3 linked regions of the Lepisosteus oculatus genome follow. The protein of the gene in region 1 purifies or fractionates together with the protein of each later gene. This does not show direct contact. Links are inferred from orthologs where the notes say so. Each region holds a gene or a part of one and is shown on either strand. Other genes may lie near its edges. The genes, in order: srfb, mrtfa and myocd.

Region 1 (6,994 bases):
TGCCTGCTGGTCTGAGATTGAAATGCTCTTCCCTGAAGGACTATGTGGAAGTGCAGCAGAACCAGAGGGCCGGAGGGACTCCCGTCTCAGACCAAGGCCGGGCCGTGGGAGTGCTGCCGGGCCCTCGGATCAATCGGAGCCGGAGGAGCTGCGTGCGGACAGGACAGGGGCCACGCCGTGCTCTCACACGGGCCCTCGGGCAAGATGTTCTTCAAACTGCTGAGGGGACGTAGGGTGAAGAAACACCACGCAGGAAAGCGACTGTTAACAGATAATTACACCGCATTTCAGAAAAGAGCTCCGTTGCAGGCTGTGGAGCTGGGATCATTGTCGATAGTGGGAACGGGTCCAGAGCACAGAGAACAAGGACCGAGACCGCAGCCCATGCCACCTGTCCGCTACCTTCCGTGACGGAAACACACTTCCCCGATGCTCTAGCTTCGCCAGCCTCTGGCCAGGCAGCCCTTGGGGTCGCGCACACACCCGACCAGCAGCTCGGTACTACCGACACCAACACCGGCACAGGCCACAGGGAGGGGAGGGTGGGCACAGGGGTTGCCAGTTGCTCTTTTCTATTTAAAGCGCCTGCCTCTTGTTCTGAGCCCACCGTGTCCGCTGTAGTTTCCACCTACGGCGAAGGAGGGGGGGGGGCGCTCTCTCCCCTGACTGGAGGTCCGCACGTGCGCGGCGCCCCCCCCCCCCCGGTCACTAGTAAACACCGCCGGGAGCCTCGCGGCTACTCCAGCGCGAGCCCGTGTCAGTTTCGCTTCCCCCCCCCCACCTCCCGGCCTCGCGCGCTGCGGCAGCTCTCCTCTTCGTCTCTCCATCCCCCCCCCCGCCGCCGCCGCCTACTCCCCCGCTCTCCGTCGGTACCCCCTCAGGGAGACGGGCTCACCCCCGAACCCCCTGGAGGAGACACCCCCCCGAGAAACACCTCGGCAGTGCGAGAGCGGCTCCCCAGACGGCGGGCCGCGTTGTGTAATCCGCGCTCTGATTTCTCACTGGGCAGAGGCGGAGAGAAAAAGACAACCGTCCACCCCCCGGCACACGGATAAAAATAATTCAGGTGGAGACACTCTCCGATTCTGGGGATATTTTCTGCTGTTGCCGATAGGCCCACAACTCCCCCCCTTGCTCCATGTTTCTGTGTGTGTGCGCGGACGAGCGTGGTCTCTCTGGAAAGCGAAAAACAAAAACACAACAGATATCTCAGCAGGGTAGGTCTGCAGATTTCCAGAGGGCCGGGAAAGCGGTAAAGTCGGAAAGTAAAAAAAAAAAGTGAAGTACACTTCTTACAGCTCAGACACAACAGAACAGGCTCCGCGGCTACACACGGGCTGAAACACGGACTGGCGAAGTTTCTCACGACCGACACATGACGCCGGACGGAGCCCGGGCGCTGACAGAACTGGTCTTGGGAGCAGACGACGACGACGACGACTTCGACAACCCGGTGTGCCGTTTCCGACGGTGTGCTCGCTGGGCAGCTCATCCTTTCCCAGGTTTTACGAACTTGTTCACCGGACCAGACGCTCTCCCTGCTGCGGCGGCGGCGTTCCGGCTCCATCTCTCGACTCGCCCCGCTCTCAAGCCGCGGGGTCGCCCGCCGCTGCATCGTCGCTTAAAGCAACTTATACGCCAACCGTTAACTTCTCCAGCCCCGGGGGGGGGACAGTGCGAGGCCTCGCATCGGGGGGGAGTGGGGGGATAGAGGACGGGACTCGTTAAAAAAAAAAAACTTCCCCCGACACCTCCACCGGCCGCGAACTTGGCAGGGCAATCTCGTTACTCACCTTCTTCATGATGCCCGTCTTCCGCTTGCTGAAAGTTGTGTACCGCCTCAGCTTGTTGTCGATAAACTCCATTTTGATCTTGACTCGCCCCCTGGTCTTCTTCCCCGGCTTCGCGCCGGCCACCCCGGCGGACACCCCGCCGTATGCCCCCGGCGGCACGCCGGTCTCCTGCCCGGCGCCGGCGGCTTCCATCTCCGCCCGCTCCCGCTTCACCCCTCTCCTGCCGTCCCCGGCCGGACCCAGGGGGTCGTCGTCATCCCCGGAGTCCGAGTCGGCGTCCGAGCCGCTGTACACCTGAGGCGTGCTGTCCCGCTCGGGCTCGTACCTCCCGGCCCCGTGCATCCCGACGGCGGGCGTCACTCCCCCGATGCCCCCTACTCCAGTCCCCTGCAGCCCGGCCAGCCCTGCCCCGTTGCCCGGCCGGGACCCTCCTCGGGAGCCTCCCCCTGCCCCGTTGCCCCCCAGCATCCCTGCCCCGTCCCCCGACCGTCCCACCCCGCCGCCGTTGCCGCTGACCCCGGCCGCCACTCCGATTAACCCCGTCCTGCCCAGACCCGGGCGCAGCGCGCTCCCGGCCGCCCCCGAGCTGTGACCCGTGTTGCCCCGGCCCGCAGACGACCCGTTTCCAGCTGGTGCCGACCCAGCCTGGCTCGGTAACATTATACTCTGCTGCCCCCGGGGGTGTCTTTAAAGAAAGCCAGCCGCTCGCTGGGGCCCGTGCGTGCTCGTCTTGTTACAGCAAAGCACATACACCGGCCAGCGAGGTGGTCAACGGGGGAAGGGAGGGAGAGGAGGAGAAGAAAAAAAAAGAAAACAGCGGTCCGGAAAGTCAGAAAGGCTCCGACGTCCCCTTATAACGGGAGAAGTTAAGTTTCAGAAGTGATGCTGCCCCCCATAAGACCCCTCACCCCCGGCTCAGTCAAGCTCAACCTCCTCTATTTCCAAAACTCGCTGCACTTTCTCCAAAAGGAAAACGCGGATCACGCCCTACGCATCACTCCGCCATGTCACGTAGTCCCCACATTAAAACACCGCCGGGGAGCCCGCCAGCGCGCCCGGGATGGCAGCCGACGCTCCTACCCGTCCTCCGGATCACCTAACTCGCTTTCAGACGGCGCCGGCGCCGAGGGGGAACCGGCTAAATTCGCTTATTTCAACTCGCTCCCCGTGGACGGATACCATAGGTAGCGATCTACTTTCCTCCATATAAAGAGATACAACGTTTCCTTTTATGGTGGCGGCTCTCCTTATTTGGTGAGTCACAGCGCCGCGCCGCCATTGGCCGCAGCCGCCCGAACCTGCGCCGCCATTGGACGCCAGGCGCCCGGTCATTAGAATAAATACCAAGATGGTTGCGCTCATCCCCCTGACGTCAGCGACGGGAGGAAGGCTGGTGGTCGAGTTTAAAGAGACAGGCACGGAGTTAAAGTCCCGAGTTAGCTGCTGTACAGTTAGGGGCTTTCACATATCACAGTGCCAACGGCTTGAGTTTCTTTCTTTTCTACTGCAGGGGCCTTATCAAACAAGGTTTTATGAACTGTAATTTATTCACTGCTGTATTTAATTTGTTCACTGTTGTACTGTACAAATAAACCATAATCCCTTGCCGATATACACATGGATAAGGGCTTCACGTAAGATCTTCTACAAACTAAGCTGTTGTGGTGGTATAGCTTGCCCCGTCATAATTATTGGTCTCCTTTTGTCACTTTACGGAAGGTCTTGGTCACTTTAGGTCACATGGAAATGGATCACTAGTTACCTGGTCCAACATTGGTTCAGCAATGACCTGTTCATCTTGCTGTGTCTGACCCCGTCCACTCATCAATTGTCTTCGCCCCGATCCTGATATCATGACCCCTGTTTGTGCTCTAACACATCCATTTCTTATTCCACATCTTCTTCTTATTTCCAGGCACAGGGTTTTCCAACACATGCTGGATATTCTGTAGTACATACAATGTTTTTTCGAATACATCGTGCATTCAGAGAGTATCAACAAACAGATCAGTGTAAGACCTCTAGGATACCTCTTAGAAAAACCTTTGAATATCTAGGAATATTTTAGAAAATGACAGAGCAAAACTATTCGTTTGGGATTTTATGTCACTATGGACGTGATATATACTAGCTATAAGAGTAATGCACTTCAAGAGTATTTTCTTCAAAGCCGTACATAACGTTTATAATCCAGAAAGAACACATAACTTTGATATATTAACATTAATGCAAGTTGAAAGATTTCACAGATTCCAAAAAATAATCTACCTCCAAATGAAAAGCAGTAGTATCCGGCAGAGATACACAGATTCAACACACAGATGAACTTTTCCTGATGGCATAGAAAAACAAGGAGGGATTGCTTTGTCTTTTCAAAGTGCCCCTCGTGCAATTAAAAGACTCTACAGGGAAGTAAGAAGAAATACGTGACCACGCCCTGTGTCTGCAATTAAATGCGCAATTAGTACATTTGCAACTTGCTGGATTGAATGGGTGTTCAGGAGAAGTATAAGTAATCATTTTTAAATAAGTATCATTTAACAGGTCGGATTTACTGCTCCTAACAAAGTAGTGAATGACACTATTGGAGATGGGTGATGCTCATACCTTCATGTCCGACTGCGTGTTTAAATATTAGATCAGTCACGAAGTTTTATCTCAGGTTCGTCGCGTCCCTCGTTAGTTCTCAACACCCTGGCGGTGAAACTGTAGCTGTTAAGCATTATGTGGCCGAACTGTTTAGGGGGTTTGAGCACTGCGTTTAAAACTGAACGGGACTAAAAAAAACACAGCTCTGTGCGTTTGCCGATGTTCCTAATTAGCGAGGGCCAGTGGGTGCAGACACCTTAGAACAAACCTGTCAGGCACTCCACAGTCTTCTCACTTCACTGTATCACCAACTCTTGCCAGGGTGGCTTGGTTGCTATGGAAACTGTTTAACTGGATGCTGCATTAAATTAGATTAGGCCTTGCTCAAATATGCAAGCCTAGATAACGGGAAGGCAGTCTTACCCATTTAACCAGCCCTGAAGAGGCATGATCGGCAGGGCTCGTCGTTCTTGGCAATTATGAGGCGCCCCTGTTGAGAGAGCTGGGCTTGTGGGTTTTAACTGCCGTGGCAGTGTCGGCGTGTCTGTATGATAGCAGGCAGGGCCTTTCCTGGGCTTGCTGTACCTGAAATTGAAGTAACTGTGTGTCCTTGTCTGTGCCTCCTCCAGTGTGAAAGAAATGAAACTTTTAAGCCCGTTAGTGTTTTGACACTCGGGTACGAGTTTCAAGTTTTTTTTTCTTCTTAACTTTCCTTTTAAAAATGAATCATCTGTTTAATGTTGTAAAAACAAACAAACACAATGCTGGACGGGTCTGGCAGTGTAGTTCTGTCCAAGGGGAAGCAGTACCTGTCCCGAGTCAGGAGACCTGCAGGACTCCCAGCTCCGGAGAAGAGCAGCACTTCTCCGGCCCCCTGCACACGTCTGGTCACCCTTCCTCCTTCCTCCATCGTCTGCAGTGCGGTTTGTGCTTCTCCTGGGGGGGGGGAGGACAGCCATGCCCTGTGTAAGACAGAAGGAAGAGTCTGGCTCTCCGAGAGGCCAGAGAGAGGGGTGTGTGGAGACATAACATCTGGATACCTCCTCAGCCGGTGCAAGTCCCCCCTGCCCCCCGCACACAGAGACCCCACAACACACAGGCCTGCTGCTTGGGATACTTCCAGTGAACGTCTTCATCCAGATCTTCTCCTGTCAGCTGGGACACCAGGCAGCTGCGGGGCGCAGCTGGAGGGGTCTGGGCCCGGAGTTTTCCATCTCAAGCTCTGACAGGAGCGTGGAGGCTGCCCGGCCCTGCGAGACACCACCACTGACGCCATGAGCCCAGGGAAGGAGAGGATACCGGTTAAAGACAGAGCAGGAGCAGGGACAGTGAAGAACCCTTGAAATCAGAACACGACAGGACAGAGTGGGATAAAAATAAGCCCAATTTGCATGTCAAGGAGAAGCATTTCACAAAAGCTTTAGCATGATCAAGGGTTACTGTAGGTGAGTCATCCATGACTAGTTTTTCTATAAACTCAGGTTTGGAACAGATTGGCGTCTGGGTGAGGGTACATTGTTTCTGTGGTAATGATCCTTTGTAGATCAGTGGATTGGAAGTCTTGGCTCTGCTGCCGCCGCAAGATGATAAAGCACACGGGAACCATCTGCGCAGTGCTGGACGCGCTGAAAAAAAATAGGTTCACTAAACGGTCAGGCCTGCCACACAGCCCAGAGTTCTAGTGTCTCACAGAGGTCTAAACTGTGAGGCTACTGTGATTTGAGCTGCTTTTCGCCTTTCAGGAAGCGCTGGTTCCTGATCGTAATTTATTGTCGTGCAGAACCCTGCTCTTTAAAATTTGTGGACTACATGATACGATCAGCCAAGAATGCGCTGAGAGGTTTTCAGCGTTAACATCAATAGCTGGGTATTTCTGCAGCTGATAGGGAAGTGTGTTTGGTGTTGAGCAGTTTTCTTCAGCCGAAAGGATTGTGGTTTCGGTGATGTCGGAGCTTCTTTGAAGCTTGCTTTGCCTGGAAAACCTTTACTCTTCAGCAACATGGTTTCAGGGAGCTTTAAATATCTGTCGCCCCTCCGGCTCCAAGAGTCTGCTGCTCCTCTGCGGTTGGCCTGTAAACTCGTCTTCTTGTCTTGCACACCCGTTCACCTACCCAATCCGGTTAAAATCCAGGAAAGGAAGTGATGCTAGAGGTCAAGTTATAGAGGGAGAAAAACCCTCCGTTCATTTGACAAACATTAAAAGGCTCAAGATGCTTCATATAATCCATCTGTTTGCTAACCAACATTGCTTCATCCAACACAGAGTCACAAGGCAGCCTGGGCCTACGCTGGCAAGGAGTGGGCACAAGGCTGGACAAACTCTGGACAGGCACACAGGACACAAACACACACTCACTCACACCAGGGCCAGTTTCTCCAGATGCCAGTGAACCTTTTGGTAGGTTTTTGGACTATGGGAGGAAACCGGAGCACCTGGAGGAAACCCACAAACTGAGGGAGAGCATATACCACTTCATATAACCGGCGCTCTGTACCGTATAAATCACAGGCCACCTAGTATCTGATGCCTTTTAGACACTGAAACGTGCACTTCATGCGTGAACATAACAAGAATTATAAGCCAATTTTAGGACAAAGAATAGCAGGGCCGG
Region 2 (7,095 bases), on another chromosome or scaffold:
CGTGGTTCAACACGATGCTGACCACAGGCCCCTCGGACATCGCAGTCCAGCGTGGTTCAACACGATGCTGACCACAGGCCCCTCGGACATCGCAGTCCAGCGTGGTTCAACACGATGCTGACCACAGGCCCCTCGGACACCGCAGTCCAGCGTGGTTCAACACGATGCTAACCACAGGCCCCTCGGACACCGCAGTCCAGCGTGGTTCAACACGATGCTAACCACAGGCCCCTCGGACACCGCAGTCCAGCGTGGTTCAACACGATGCTGACCACAGGCCCCTCGGACACTGCAGTCCAGCGTGGTTCAACACGATGCTGACCACAGGCCCCTCGGACACTGCAGTCCAGCGTGGTTCAACACGATGCTGACCACAGGCCCCTCGGACACTGCAGTCCAGTGTGGTTCAACACGATGCTGACCACAGGCCCCTCGGACACTGCAGTCCAGTGTGGTTCAACCCGATGGTGACCACAGCCCTGCTGGACACTGCAGATCCCTCTAATTCAACACGATGGTGGTGTCTAACAGAGCCCTGTTGGACACAACGGTTCAATCTTCCGGACACTATATTCCCATCCCGGCTCCATCGGAATGCAAACGTCTGACCCTCCCCCCTCCGGCCCGGTACACACCACTTTCACCCCCCCGGAGAATATCGGGCAGGCAAAGAGGAACAAGAGCGAGGGGGAAGAGAACAAACCAGGTGCAGTAAGAGGAAGAGGAGAAGAGAAGCAGACAGAGGAGGAGGAGGAGGAGGAGGGCGATACCTGCTTTACTTCCTGTGTGCGGGGAATCTGGGTATTTCCATTTCAGCAGGACCGCTGCTCACTGCAGGGGGGGGAAGAGAAACACAGGGATTAGGATTTACAGGATCAGCACCCCCCGACTGTGCGTGTTCGTGTGCATGTGAGACCACGAGTTGCACGAAGGTGTTAATGTCTCGTTAATTCCCTTATTCCCACACTGTGGGAAGTGTGAAACCAGGCCGACACGATGCTGTGGAAAGTGGAAACAACCCAAGTCAAGAGCTGTCATGTCACAGTTGTGCAAGATTCCGGTTAAACCCACATCGAGAATCCCGTGCAGGTTTTATTTATCATGCCTGCTCCAGAACCAGTTTTATACAAGAGTTCCTGCAGCTGAAGGAATTCTTCCGGCAGGTCAGCTGGTCACAGAATCCCAACACGCAGATCTACGATTCCTGGATCCTGAAAGAATCTTCTGAACCTCAAACAGGGAAACCTACAGGTATTCAGTATCAAAGACCTCCGCCTCAACCCTTTGGCACAAAAAGGAGAATATTCAGGACTGGAAACAGGAGGTAGTTTTCTTTACACCAAGAGCAGTGGGGGTCCGGAGCAAACTACCCAGCCATGCAACAGAAAGATTCCCTGGGATCCCCTCAGGACAAGGCTGGATGACACCTTGGGATCAACCACAGAAGAAAGTGGGTCCCTGCCCTCTTCTCCGAAATATCTCCTAGGATCTCTCGCCAGGGACGACAGCACACACCCAAAACTTATAAAAAGCAAAAACTATTAGCTGCAGGCTGATTAATTAGGGACTGCAGCCAAACCCTAGATACCAGGGTTGACCTAGTTTGCTGGAACGCCCACATCCTTATCTGAACAGCACCTCGCTCGCAGAAATATCTGCGTTTTCCATCTCCCCTTTGCAGCAGCACCCGTCCGGGTCCGACGGAGGAAACCGCTGGTGGCTTTCAGCCGGAAAAAAAAAAATCCCCCTCAACAGCAGAGATCGCCCCTCTCCCAGCGATTCCGCACGCAGTTCCTGCATCCCATCGGCCAGTGCGCACGGCTCGGGCCCCTCCCGGCCGCACGCGCTGACCTGTCCCCCCGGCAGGAAGTGTGCAGGGGGGACACCATTCCCTGTGACACACCTCCCGCTAATAATTCCTCACAGGAGAGCAGAGTGATGGAGCCAGTTCAGAGAGGGGGGTTATTAGGAGGCCATGAGGGGTAAAGGCCAGGGGGAGATTTGGCCAGGACACTGGGGTTACACCTCTACACCCTGGGATTTTTAACGACCACAGAGAGTCAGGTCCTCGGTTTTACGTCTCATCCGAAGGACAGCACCATTTTTTTTTATTTTTTTTTACAGTGTAGTGTCCCCGTCACTATACTGGGACATCAGGACCCACACAGACCGCAGGGTGAGCGCCCCCTGCTGGCCCCACTCACACCTCTCCCAGCAGCAGCCTCAGTTGATCCCAGGAGTCTCCACTCCAGGTACTGCCCAGGCTCACAGGGGGGTTGTGGGGGGGGGGGGCTCCCAAATTCCTCCTGAACCACCCCGGAGCTCCAGTCGGCGCTCCACAGCGCTGCACTCCCGGGAGACGGGCGGACCAGCACATGGTCCCCGCGGCCCCGAGCCCTGCCCCGTCACCTGGCGCTAGGGGGGGGGGAGACACGACAGCTGTCCGGGGACACCGCCGCCAGCAGCGCCCTGCGCCCTCCGGCACCGCACTGCGGACTCCACGCCCCGGAGCGGACCGGCTGGGCTCGCTGTCGCGGCCGTGGAGGTGGAGGTGAGAGTGGGGAGGAGGGGGGGGCCGGATGGCCCCGCCGCGCCTGTCGCGACACTGACCAGCCGCCCCCCTCTCCTCCCCACGCGTCGCCCCACTCAGGATGACTGCAACACGGACCAGGCGCCCCCACGGCGGTGACACGGACTCACCTGGCGGGCAGCGCGCAGGCACCTCTCCCTGCGGCCCATTTCTCGACAGCGAGGCGGCGTTGGAAAAAAAAAATAAAAAATGAAAAAGGCAGGTTTTTCTCACAGTCACCTCCGCCAGATAAGACTGAGGCAGTATGTTCCAGCTCCAGTTCAAAACACAGACATGTCACAGACCACGGGCTTCCAGCCGGCGGGATAGTGTTACCGAAAGTTGCCTTATTCTGGGTGCCCAGCTGTTCAGAGAATTAATGTTTATAAAGCAGTATTTTCGTCTAGGGTTGTCTCACCCCCCACCCCTACCCACTATCAAAACTAGCTTCCGATTTACAATGTTGAACTTAGACCGGAAATCCCTCCCCCTTCCCGTCCACCCCCCCCCCCCGCCTCCGCAGCCGAGGTCATCCAATCAGCGGGCAGAAACCGGGTCGACTGACGTCGCCGACGGGCCAATCCCGCTCCTTCGCCTGCGCCCCCGCGACCAACTTTTTTTTCTTTAGTTTTTCCTGTGACCGACGCCTGGCGCCGTCCAATCAGAGCGCAGGACCATTTCGGGAGCCTGGCCTTTGCACCAATCAGCTGGCGCTGCGGCAACGGGTTCGCTACGGTGCCGACCAATGGGAAGCGAGGAGGTTTTGATTCCAACTTTTGGCAGCGGGCGTGAGACAGCAGAGGTGTGGAGACGCCTCGCTCGGTCCACTCCCGAGTTATTGGAAGGAAGCAGACAGGCGTCATCGCCAATGTTGCAGTTCAGCTGTTGAGAAAGTACCCAAATGTACTGTATATTTTTATCGTCAGCTTCAAATATGTGAAAAACGTGCTTATAGCTGCACGTGTTGTATGCAGAATCTGCATAGTCACTCAGATGGTATGTTTACATATCGTGTGTATTTATTTTATATATGTTTCGATAACCCATCTGTATTTGGCTGTGCTTCCCTCGTCTTCAGAGAGGGGAGGAGCTGTAAAGGGCAGAGAGCTAAGAGAGGAGGCAGAGGAAAATCACAGCACAGGTATCGGTCATCTCACCGTTTATTCCAGACATCCCGTTCACTAGCCCGGTCAGCCGCACCTGCTGCAGATTGTAATACAACAGTAACCTTGTCGGACACGACGTGTGACCGCACTTCAGGGTGCAGTGGCATTATTTACCTTTAGGGGCGAACGGCGGGGAGAACGTGCAGGCTCCACCCAGACAGGGCTGGATTCGAACCCAAGATCCGTTTGTAATGGATCACAAAATAAAATGTACACATGCAAGGCAGGGAGAGAACGGCGACAGCGGGGTGGAAATGTTTCTGACCCAGGGTACCGGGGTACGGGGCAGGCAGACATCTACCCCAAACAAGCCAATATAATCACCCACCGTCTGAGTGTCCACTTCAACCACAACACCCACATTCAAGTGCCATAAAACTAAGATATCCTTTATTCCCTGGACTATTAGCCAACTTAATCTGGACAACCGATATTTTCTTTTTTCATCATGCAAACTTCGTCTAATAATTTAAAGCTGCTGGTTTGTTTTCCATTGAATGCATGGTTTCTTTTTTTTTTTATTCGTTAATTCATTCAGATTATTTTGTACTGTCTATTAAAAGCCAGGTTTCACCTTCCTGCAAAGCAAATTCCCCCATCTGGGACAATACAGGCAGGAGCTTCCGAGCTGGACACCGACTGCGGGCAGAGGGCTCCGCCTAGCGGCAGGAAGGCGGAACTGCACGGCCCGGAGAGACGCTTCGAGCGCCTTCACGCCCGGAAACGGCAGGGTGTCCTGGGAAAGCCCGGTCCTCGCTGAGCACCGCCGGTCTGACCCCGCCGCGGCTGAGCGACCCACTTGGCACCGGCGGAACGGCCAGAATCATCTCTGAAGCCGGACGCAGCGACCCGACGTCTCGGAACCGAGCCCCCCCCCGGGCCGCGCTGTCGAAGCCGATCCCAGTGGATCCCGATGGACCTGCAGGCGCGGGCTGAACCGCCGGCCTCCGCCTCCGCGCCCACCTGGAGCGCGGGGCTGTGCAGTTCCACCCCCGAGGTGGGCTGGCGGGGGGCAGGGGGCAGGGACAGCGCCCCCTCCAGGTTGCCTGAGCGACCCTCCCTCCTCCCCAGCTCTCGGTCCAGGGCGAAGATGCGCCCCCCTCCGGCTCCCGCTGGGACAGGAGCGTGCTCCCCAGCCTCCCGCCGCCCAGCGGCACAGCAGCAAGGGGACAGGAAGAGCACGCGAGTCGGGCGTCAGGTCCGAAGCGCCGGACCGGCACCCCTTTTATTGGGACGTTGGGGGGCGCCGTTCATTTTGGGGGAACAAGCGAGCGAGCAGTTCGAGCACCACCTCCCCCCCGAGTCAGCTCCCGTAGGGGAGGGTGTGGGAGGCAGAAAGACGTTAACCCCCACCCAGTCCAGACACCAGACATCACCGTCCTCGCGCCATCCGCCACCGCCTGGGGCGGAGCTGCTCTCCACCAATCAGAGCCCGCCACCTGCCCCCCTGTCTTCCCAGGATCCCCCCCGGCGTCGCGTCTGGGCGTCAGCGGCCGGGCACGGTCCTCCGCAAGCCCATGGCCCTGAAGGTGGTGGCGGCGATCTTCTCGTAGAGCAGGAACATGAGGGCAGCGGTCAGGACCGTCTGCAGCAGCTTGGCCTCCAGCCCCTTGAACAGTCCCAGGATGCCCTGCTTCCTGCGCGGGAGAGAGAGAGAGAGAGGGGCGGCGCTCCAGTGTCCAGCTGTGTCTCAGGGTGTTTGGTCCAAGATGGCTGCCGTGTTATCTTACACACTGAGGCCGGGCATGCAAGGAGTGTGCTGCTGCTGCCGGGGCAGGAAGGGGAAATGACTGTGGGGTGGTCGCTCACTCTTCCAGGCTGACGCCACCCCAGTGTGGTCACTCTCTCTGCCCCCCTGCAGTGCGGTCACTCCCCCCACCCAGCCCCCTGCAGTGCGGTCACTCTCCCCTTGCCCCGCCCCCTGCAGTGCGGTCACTCCCCTTGCCCCGCCCCCATGCAGTGCGGTCACTCCCCTTGCCCCGCCCCCCTGCAGTGCGGTCACTCCCCTTGCCCCGCCCCCCTGCAGTGCGGTCACTCTCCCTGCCCCGCCCCCCTGCAGTGCGGTCACTCTCCCTGCCCCGCCCCCCTGCAGTGTGGCCACTCCCCTTGCCCCCCCCCTGCAGTGCGGTCACTCCCCTTGCCCCGCCCCCCTGCAGTGCGGTCACTCCCCCTGCCCTGCCCCCCTGCAGTGCGGTCACTCCCCCGGCCGACTCACCTGACTCTCTGGCTCAGCAGGTGGACGATGCTGCGCAGACCTCCCAGTAGCCGGCGCCCCTGCGGCTGGGCGTGCTGCCCGAACTGAGACAGGAGCAGGGAGAGAGTGAGAGACTGGGGGGGGGGACAGGAGAGAGGACAGGCCGGCCGCGCGGTCACTCACCCGCAGGATGGACTGCACCGTCTGCAGCGGGTAGGTCACGGTGGTGGCCACAGCCTTGGCCACGGCGCCGATCACGAACACCTCCAGGGAGAGCAGCTGCAGCAGCAGGGACAGGGGCGGCCAGTGGTCAGTCACAACCGTCCGCGGGCAGTGCCCCCGTCAGCGCCCGAGCGCCAGGCTCTGACCCAGTGAGTCCGTGTGCCAGCGAGGCAGTGCATCAGTCCGCCAGTCAGGCAGTGCGCCAGACAATGTGACAGGTAGCGTACCAGTCAGGCAGTGTGACAGTCAGGCAGCAGGTCTCTGTGCCAGTCAGACAGTGTGCCAGTGTGACAGTCAGGCAGCAAGTCTCTGTGCCAGTCAGACAGTGTGCCAGTGTGACAGTCAGGCAGCGAGTCTCTGTGCCAGTCAGACAGTGTGCCAGTGTGACAGTCAAGCAGCGAGTCTCTGTGCCAGTCAGACAGTGTGCCAGTGTGACAGTCAGGCAGCAGGTCTCTGTCCCAGTCAGGCAGTGTGCCAGTGTGACAGTCAGGCAGCAGGTCTCTGTGCCAGTCAGACAGTGTGCCAGTGTGACAGTCAAGCAGCGAGTCTCTGTGCCAGTCAGGCAGTGTGCCAGTGTGACAGTCAGGCAGCAGGTCTCTGTCCCAGTCAGGCAGTGTGCCAGTGTGCCAGTCAAGCAGCGAGTCTCTGTCCCAGTCAGGCAGTGTGCCAGTGTGACAGTCAAGCAGCGAGTCTCTGTCCCAGTCAGGCAGTGTGCCAGTGTGACACTCAAGCAGCGAGTCTCTGTGCCAGTCAGACAGTGTGCCAGTGTGACAGTCAAGCAGCGAGTCTCTGTGCCAGTCAGACAGTGTGCCAGTGTGACAGTCAAGCAGCGAGTCTCTGTGCCAGTCAGACAGTGTGCCAGTGTGACAGTCAGGCAGCAGGTCTCTGTGCCAGTCAAACAGTGTGCCAGTGTGACAGTCAGGCAGCAGGTCTCTGTCCCAGTC
Region 3 (7,625 bases), on another chromosome or scaffold:
AGTTTCTTTACAAGCAGTTAGCATTGATAGATCTTATAAGGTTTTTAATACTGTACTTCTTCATTAAAGCAAGACATCCCAGTATAGTACGTCTCAATTCTATTCTAGTCCTCAATACCCGTCACCCAGTGACAGATCTTCCAAAAAGTGTGAGGGAGCTTAAGCCACCCCAGTATAAGCAAAAGTCATCCCAGTTTAGTCACCCTACATTAACCTCTATTTGTAAAACTGCTAAAGGAATAACTTGAAAACTGAACATTTAAAATGAGTTGAAATTAGGGTTCAATTATGTAACTACAGGCTGCAGAAATCTTGGGAATCTAGTGGATTAAATTACTTAAATATGCAAAATATGTAGGAATGGTTTCACGAACCATAATTATCACTAAATCAGATCTACCTTACAGTATTTAGATAATGATTATGGGTATTGATATAGAAATGTGGATATAATTATTCCAAAGTTTGTGGCTGTGACACTTTACAAACAAAGTAAATCAGTGAAAAAGGCTGTTTTATATGCTAAAACTCTGCACACAAATAGAGGTTTTTACAAAATATAATATGTAATTTGGTCAAAAATAAAGCAGAAATAAGCAAACAACAAAGCAAAAACAAAGCACACCATATTGAAATTCAGTTTCAAATATATTAGGTCACTGTATATTAATTGGATGCTCCAAAACATCTCTGTCATACAGTAGGTAATTCTCAAAAGTTGGTCACCTCAGTGCAGCCTGCTAGGCCACAAAAGACACCTCCCTCTATTATAAGAAGGATAGGTATTTGTAATACTTTTTTATACATCATGCACATTGCAGAATGTGTAGACCCACGGAAACACCCAGGAAGAAACAACCACTACTTTGGCCTGCAACAACACATAGCAAAAAAGGTCTGTATTTCTTTTAGGTATTTTTTGTTTGGATTGGAGGTTATCATCCAAATACATACTGTAATTCAAGTAAATTAATGACATCTTGAGTCACATAGGCTAGACTTTAAAAAAAAAAGCATTGCCAGTGGGCACAGAATTCTCTTTTGTGAGCAGGTACATTCCTGCTTGGGCAGATCTGTAAAGTGAGATTGGTCACACCATGAAATACAGCTGTTTTCTTATAAATCTTGGAGATTGATCTGGAAATTGGTAGGAGAAATTAAATTAAAATCAGCTGAGGACCTTCCTATAAAAACATACTTGTTAGTTCCTACAAATTTCAATGCTCCTTGTGGCGACTTCACAGTGTTGATCTATTTACTACAATAACTGCATCCACTTTGTTCAATTAATAAGTTCAAAATTGATTTTGCTTGTAGAAAAGATGTGAAGACTCCAGATGATTCTCAAAATGAATTTTTTATATAAGGAAAACAAACCTTCCACACTAAGTTGTTTTTAACAAAAAGAAAGTTTGTCCATACAGTTTGCATTTATGCATGGTGTTTAATTTCAATATAATGAATGACAAAAAAATCTCCCCCAACACACGCAAATAACTGTTCTATGTTAAAACACATTCCTTAACACACATTTGACTGCCTTGTTCATAAAAATAGCCTTTTAAGAACAGCTTAATATTCAGCAAAGCAGAATTATTGGAATGTAAAAACACTGTTGTCTAGATGAATTACAAGGAGAACCTTGCTAGCTTCTCTTGCCTTTATTTTATGTTTCCTGAGCAATGATGGACAGAAACTCCATTTGCTAAGGATTCTTTCAAATCCTTCTTCCAAGTCATGTTTGACCTGAGCAATCATGGTATCATTTCCTTGCACAGCCTCTAAATCTTGACTAATCTTGTCAACTAACTTAACTTTAAAACATTCAAGGGTCCTTGCAAAAACATACCATGGTAATTTTCACACTATTGTGCCTGTTATAAACAGTACATGATTCATCTGAATCATGGTATACCACAGTGATTAATGTTATATTGTATTTGTTATTGTTAACCAGTGTAAGGTTGTGATAACCATAATATTGCATAATTTGTAAGTATTCAAGATGTTTGTATAGAACTATTGTTTATTGTTAATTGTTTTGTATTTACAATAGTATGATATATATTGCTTAAGAATACTTTGGGAATTTTGCACAAGTTATGTTTAGGGAAGGAAAAAGTGGAGAAAACTTTGCAATGCAGTGTAGCAAACTGCTCTGAAAGATGGGTTTTGATAGTACAAGCTTGTTGTAGTCTAGAAGTCATAACTTCTTTCAGCACGGCCTGAATGTTAAAGTATCACAACATGTACAACTTGGCTTGTTCACTGCAGTCCTTCCAAGCCAATTTAAGCTTCTTTTAATGTAGAAAAACTAAAAAATATAAAAATAAAATACCATCATTACTGACTTAAAGCAGAAGAATCCATTGACTGGAGTGTTTCACCTTATACTAGTTTTGTCAACTTCTTTTTATATCTAAAACATTGTATTGAGTTTGCTTAATTACTATCATCCTTTATAGGATTCTATTTTTACCATACTTGTTATGACCACTGTAAAACTACATAAGAATACAAATTATTCTAATTATATAAAATGATTACACAAATGAAAGATTGCAGTGTAAAGCTGGGGTCCCCACTTTTATTTTAAGGATTAAAAAATCACTAGCAAATGCTGTAGATGGAAAAAGACATTAAAACTATTCATGCTGAATCACAAACACATTTCTCCTAATACTAATTGTTTGAGAAACGACTCGTGCATGCAAGCTTTGATTACTTCCACGTTGTTTTTAAAGAAGTGTTTTTTAATTGGATTAATTAAAACAGAAAAGAAACACTAGAAGACAGATGAAGAGCATTGACCCCTCTTGTGGAGAGCTAGCATACACTGCACAGCAGGTAGTATTAGCTTAGAATTGTACGTTGTTTCGATAAACCTTTGGCCAAGTTCCTTCAATTAACGTTGCGTTTTTGGAAGCCAAGAACAGAATGTAATAAAATACCTGTAAGTAGCTGTGGCGCAGGGTGTTATTTCTCTCTGATGAAATGTACTGAAGCTGCTGGGGATGAAGCGAAGAAGCCTATGAATTTAACAGACTGCTTCATTACGGTTCTCCAAGTCTGTAAACTTGCCGTGCCTTAAGAGCCGAGTTATAAGAGCCCTGTGCTGTCGGCTTACGGAAACAGCCGAATCCAATTCACGGGAGCAGCCAGACTTCGGGAAATATTCAATGCTACTGTTTCTAGGTTTACATGGATGCCGTGGGAGTATTTGAAACCGAGATTTACGCAGTCTGACATATTGTTTGAAGTGAAATCCTTATGACATCTCTGACATAGCGTCAGCTAGATTTCTTCAAAGTCCAAATCTTATTTCTATGCACTAACTCTATGAGTTACCGATATGTTTTGATGTCCCTTCAGTTCAGTGGCGATAGTGTCCGTATTAGGAAATCTACAGTATAATGCTTTTTTAAGGCAGAGCTAATTTCCAAGACAGCTCCATATGATAAAGTTTAAGAATGAAATGAGAGTGATTACTGGTATGAGAGACCATATGCACTTCATCAGACTTCATCATGCTACTATAATGTTTTACATTAGACTACTTACGTTTTGCTCTTAAAGTTATTCTGCATAAATCTTCCATTACATTACATTTCATAACAGAGTTGTGCTGAATTAATGCCCCGGAAAGAGAAAAATCTAATTTTGATGTAGTGTCAATGTTACATTTTATAATTTCCAGGGAATTTGCTGCGGAAATCGAGACACATGCATTTCACTCTAAGCCCTACTGAAAACGGGTATTGAATTTAAATTAATAGTTTAATGAAGGACTTCCTGACATTACTTGTGCATTTGGTAAAGACAATAGCAGATAGTTGCGGGGTGAAGCATGGTCCTTCATAATTCATTCTGTCATTCAAAACTACAGTATCACAGGTGGCAAGAAACAAGCGTGCACCTGCTCGCAGAAACTGTAGTCTGTCAGAGGTCTCATCATCAGATTAATACACTGGCGAAATGAGGATTATAGAGGTTAATGTATGTGTCTGAATTTGGTTTAATCAGAGGTATCAAAGTGGGTATAATGAAAGTACTCAAATGCCATGTAAGCATTATTAAATAACTTTATAAGAGCTGCTAACAAATGAGCAGTTTGACTGATAAAGCAGGGTCTGAAAGGATATTAAGCAATAATGATGCAAAATAAAGTTAGATTCAATAACACATTAAAGCTGGTTTTCTTAACTTCATCATAGCTCTGGAATTCTTATTAGATGTACTTTCTACGTTTTTAATGTTTGAAGACATCTGTTTGCTATTTAACTGCATTGTTACTTACCCTCTCCTTTTACAATAGCTATTAAAATCAGAAAAGAAGGTCTGGGAAGTGTAATACACTATTTAAAACATGCATTTGTAATAGAAACAGGTATTTTAACATGTAGAAGAATTAATATAAAGTGATATACATCCCCAAAAGAAATTAAGTTAATAAATAAATTCAGTTATCAAAGCAGAATATGTTCCTGGGGTAATATTTATACCTACAATACCTACAGTTCTAATTACATTGTCTTTATGCATTAATATAATTGGCTAAGTACAGTATATGTTACAGAAGTACAGCATTATCTGAATCAGTCTACATACAGTCTACACAACAAACATCTTGCTATAATATCTAAATGCATATTACAGTATAATACCATTAAAATTGTTACATTTGCCCCATTCTGTAGAGTATGCTTTTTTATTATCCAGGATGTAAGCGATTTATGAATATGTCTTCTTTTGTCAAAGTAAACAAATTTCAGAATAGTCTATTGCCACAGGTGTGTAAAACAAATACAACACACTTAATTAGTTAAGAAAATAAATTAATGGCATATTGCAGTTCTTTGCAGTATCACTTTCTAACAGATATTAAGACAAATTCCTTGCTTACATGGTCTTATTGTCTAAATCTAGCAAAGTTTGTGTTGGTTTCACTGAAGAAATAAAATTACCAGTAGACAAAAATAGAACACCTCAAATTTTATTTGTGTTTTTATTGGAAGAGTATTATGCATTTTATTCTGCTATTTTGCACATGCTAGCCAGGAGCTTATTTTGTTATTGAATTCTTTCCTTTATGGCAATGAAAGCCAAAGCAGATATCAATCTTTATCCAGACTGAACATAGTTTGCAGTATTATCAAATACTCCCATGTCATCCTTATGCAATTAATTTTCTTTTTTTTACCACTGTATCACTCTAAGATTATGCTTGTAATGTATTTTTAAAATATGAAATTGGCTCATCATTATTATTAGTGTCATTATATTTGTGTTAATGATACTAATACATGAAACTGGATCAAGTGGTACCTGAAAAGGAATAAGCAAATGGTTTTGACATTCTAACACATGTTTTTTATAAAGGTTGTAAGAAATTAAGTAGGTGAAAGTGATTCTGATTCATTTCTTTACCCTTTGTCTATCTAGGATGATGTGCCAGGGTCATTTCTTCTTTGCATTAGTAAAAGTAAAAGCTTCTCTCTCAATACATGACCTTAAAACATGAACTTTCTTGCTTTAAGATGAAGTTCATAGACTTGGCAAGAGTGCAGTTCACTTGACAAGTTTAAGAAACGTAAAACAATGAGACTTTTACCCTCCTGAAAAAGACATACAATTTTTTTGTTCCAAAAACATGCAGTACAGTATCTGGGTAGCCTGATTGAAAATATTCAAATTCTTGGAAGGAATATTATCCTTGCAATAACAAAAAAAAGTTATGTTGTCAAAGTGAGCTTATTAAACTAACATAGCACAGAAAACTAGGCAAGTGTTTAATTGTTGGCTGTATTTACATTAATTTTCATAAAAAGCAATGAATGAAAACCCATATTCTTTCAAAGACAGGTGCAGCACACAATGCCTTGATTATGGGAATAATGGCCCCAACAAAATGAAGTGAAATTACTGCAGATTTCAGCCTGAAAATATTCAGATTTTAAGAGGCCATGCCTGGCAATCTGGTAAAGATAAAACCTTTTTATCTTTAAAACCTATCCTACAGAGTTTGTTAGTAAAATAAAAAGTTCAACACTGAGAATGAACCTGGTTTGGAGGAACAGGACATGTATGGCAAATACTCATTTGACATACAGTAAGCAAATAAATAGTCACATATATAAAGAACAACTCTTCATTCTGGAATCATACATTGCATTTAATCATATGTGGAGGCTTAAAACTTTGAGGGGCTGCTCTTTGTCTTAAGCAAGACACAAATGTGGTTAGACTTTGTATGGTGGAATCAGGAAACCAGTTCTGTGGCAAGGCATTCCATTCCTGGCAAACAGTGTGTATAACACTGCAAAGAACCTTAACATCTGTTACTATACCCAAATTCTCCAGGAGGGATGTCTGCTTGTTCAAGCCAGTACTAAACCAAGCATAATGCTATATTAAAGAATACACTTCCCCTGGTTAGGCGAAAATCAAAGATGCAAAGAGCGACCAGAGTACCCCAAATCTGCCATGGCCTTGGAAAACAATGAAGTTTAATCTGCTTACATCAAGTATACAGTATATTCCATCACACTAGTGCTGCTGTACAGTATTCCGAAATTTGTTAGCAAACCGATTGCTACAGTATCTCATGGTAAGGTAGGCAAGGTCATGTTATACTTTACATGATCTATATATTCAGCAGATGTCATGGCTTTAAATGTGTTTTCTCAGTGAGATATTGGTTTTGCTGCTAGAGAATATTACTTTAACAAGCATAGCCAATTGTACTGCAACATACTTCTCAAAATCAATTCGAGAGTGGCAACCATTCTAATTTTTACCGACATCCCCTTTGAAGACTTGAATTAAAGGTTATGGGCCAAAATTACAACGTAATATTATTCTAAAAAATAATGCAAAACAAATGTTGATGTATTTTAACATCATATGACATAAAGGACTATAGTGCACAGAAGAAGTTGTGGTGATGTTCACAATTTTTGTAACTTTTGCTTTTAAACTTGTGATTTCCTCTAAATACTCAATTATAGCAGACTTTTTTACATGAAAACTTTTTTTAAAGTAAAAATAAGATTTATTCAAGCAAATAGACAATTTTTTAAAGCTAATTGATGTTATGGCTAATTGTATGTCAATTCACTAGTTTATCTTTTAGTAGAAAACAATAGTATTCAGAAGCAATTATTTACAGTTTTCAATGAAAATGTTTAATTTCAAGATATTCAATGGTAAAAAAATTGCTTGAAATTTTAAGAAGCACTGGAGTTGAAAACTGTTGTTAGAAATGGAACTACACAATTATACTATTGATCTTGACATACTTGAGATAAAAGAGCAGGCCAGGCCAATATCTCAGGAAATGTAAGTGAAGTATGAAGTATGAAATCCATGCCACTGTTTTTGAAATGTGGAATTTGTTCATTAACTTGAGTGGTTTGTGCGCACTTGAGTTTTACACAGTATGTAAATATAAAAGGAATGTATTGGAAATACCTACTGTAAAGGAAAGAAATCACTCATTTGGTCATTTGGTAGTGAAAGCCTTAATGCGATTGTTGTTACAAGATGGCTTGTAGCACTATGAGTCTAACACTGCTCATGCTCTTACATTTTTGTGAGCAAACAGCTAAAACTATTTTAAAGTGCCT

What was found.
Region 2: the proteins of srfb (region 1) and mrtfa purify together in Homo sapiens (affinity purification with western blotting; 4 studies listed by BioGRID and IntAct, with this or other methods). This does not show direct contact. The link is inferred for Lepisosteus oculatus from reciprocal best matches to the Homo sapiens genes SRF and MRTFA.
Region 3: the proteins of srfb (region 1) and myocd purify together in Homo sapiens (affinity purification with western blotting; 3 studies listed by BioGRID and IntAct, with this or other methods). This does not show direct contact. The link is inferred for Lepisosteus oculatus from reciprocal best matches to the Homo sapiens genes SRF and MYOCD.

Annotation. Positions count from the first base shown.
Region 1 is NC_090712.1:6,301,341-6,308,334, reverse strand, and holds the start of srfb (serum response factor b), read right to left. Parts: upstream 3,007-6,994; 5' UTR 2,454-3,006; coding exon 1,794-2,453; intron 1-1,793. UniProt on the Homo sapiens protein: SRF is a transcription factor that binds to the serum response element (SRE), a short sequence of dyad symmetry located 300 bp to the 5' of the site of transcription initiation of some genes (such as FOS).
Region 2 is NC_090707.1:37,901,643-37,908,737, reverse strand, and holds the start of mrtfa (myocardin-related transcription factor A), read right to left. Parts: upstream 3,031-7,095; 5' UTR 2,701-3,030; intron 832-2,700; 5' UTR 771-831; intron 1-770. Other genes in the region: slc25a17 (peroxisomal membrane protein PMP34), read right to left, coding at 5,222-5,372, 5,951-6,033, 6,113-6,208. UniProt on the Homo sapiens protein: Transcription coactivator that associates with the serum response factor (SRF) transcription factor to control expression of genes regulating the cytoskeleton during development, morphogenesis and cell migration.
Region 3 is NC_090704.1:37,590,171-37,597,795, forward strand, and holds the start of myocd (myocardin), read right to left. Parts: upstream 3,059-7,625; 5' UTR 2,952-3,058; intron 1-2,951. UniProt on the Homo sapiens protein: Smooth muscle cells (SM) and cardiac muscle cells-specific transcriptional factor which uses the canonical single or multiple CArG boxes DNA sequence. Acts as a cofactor of serum response factor (SRF) with the potential to modulate SRF-target genes.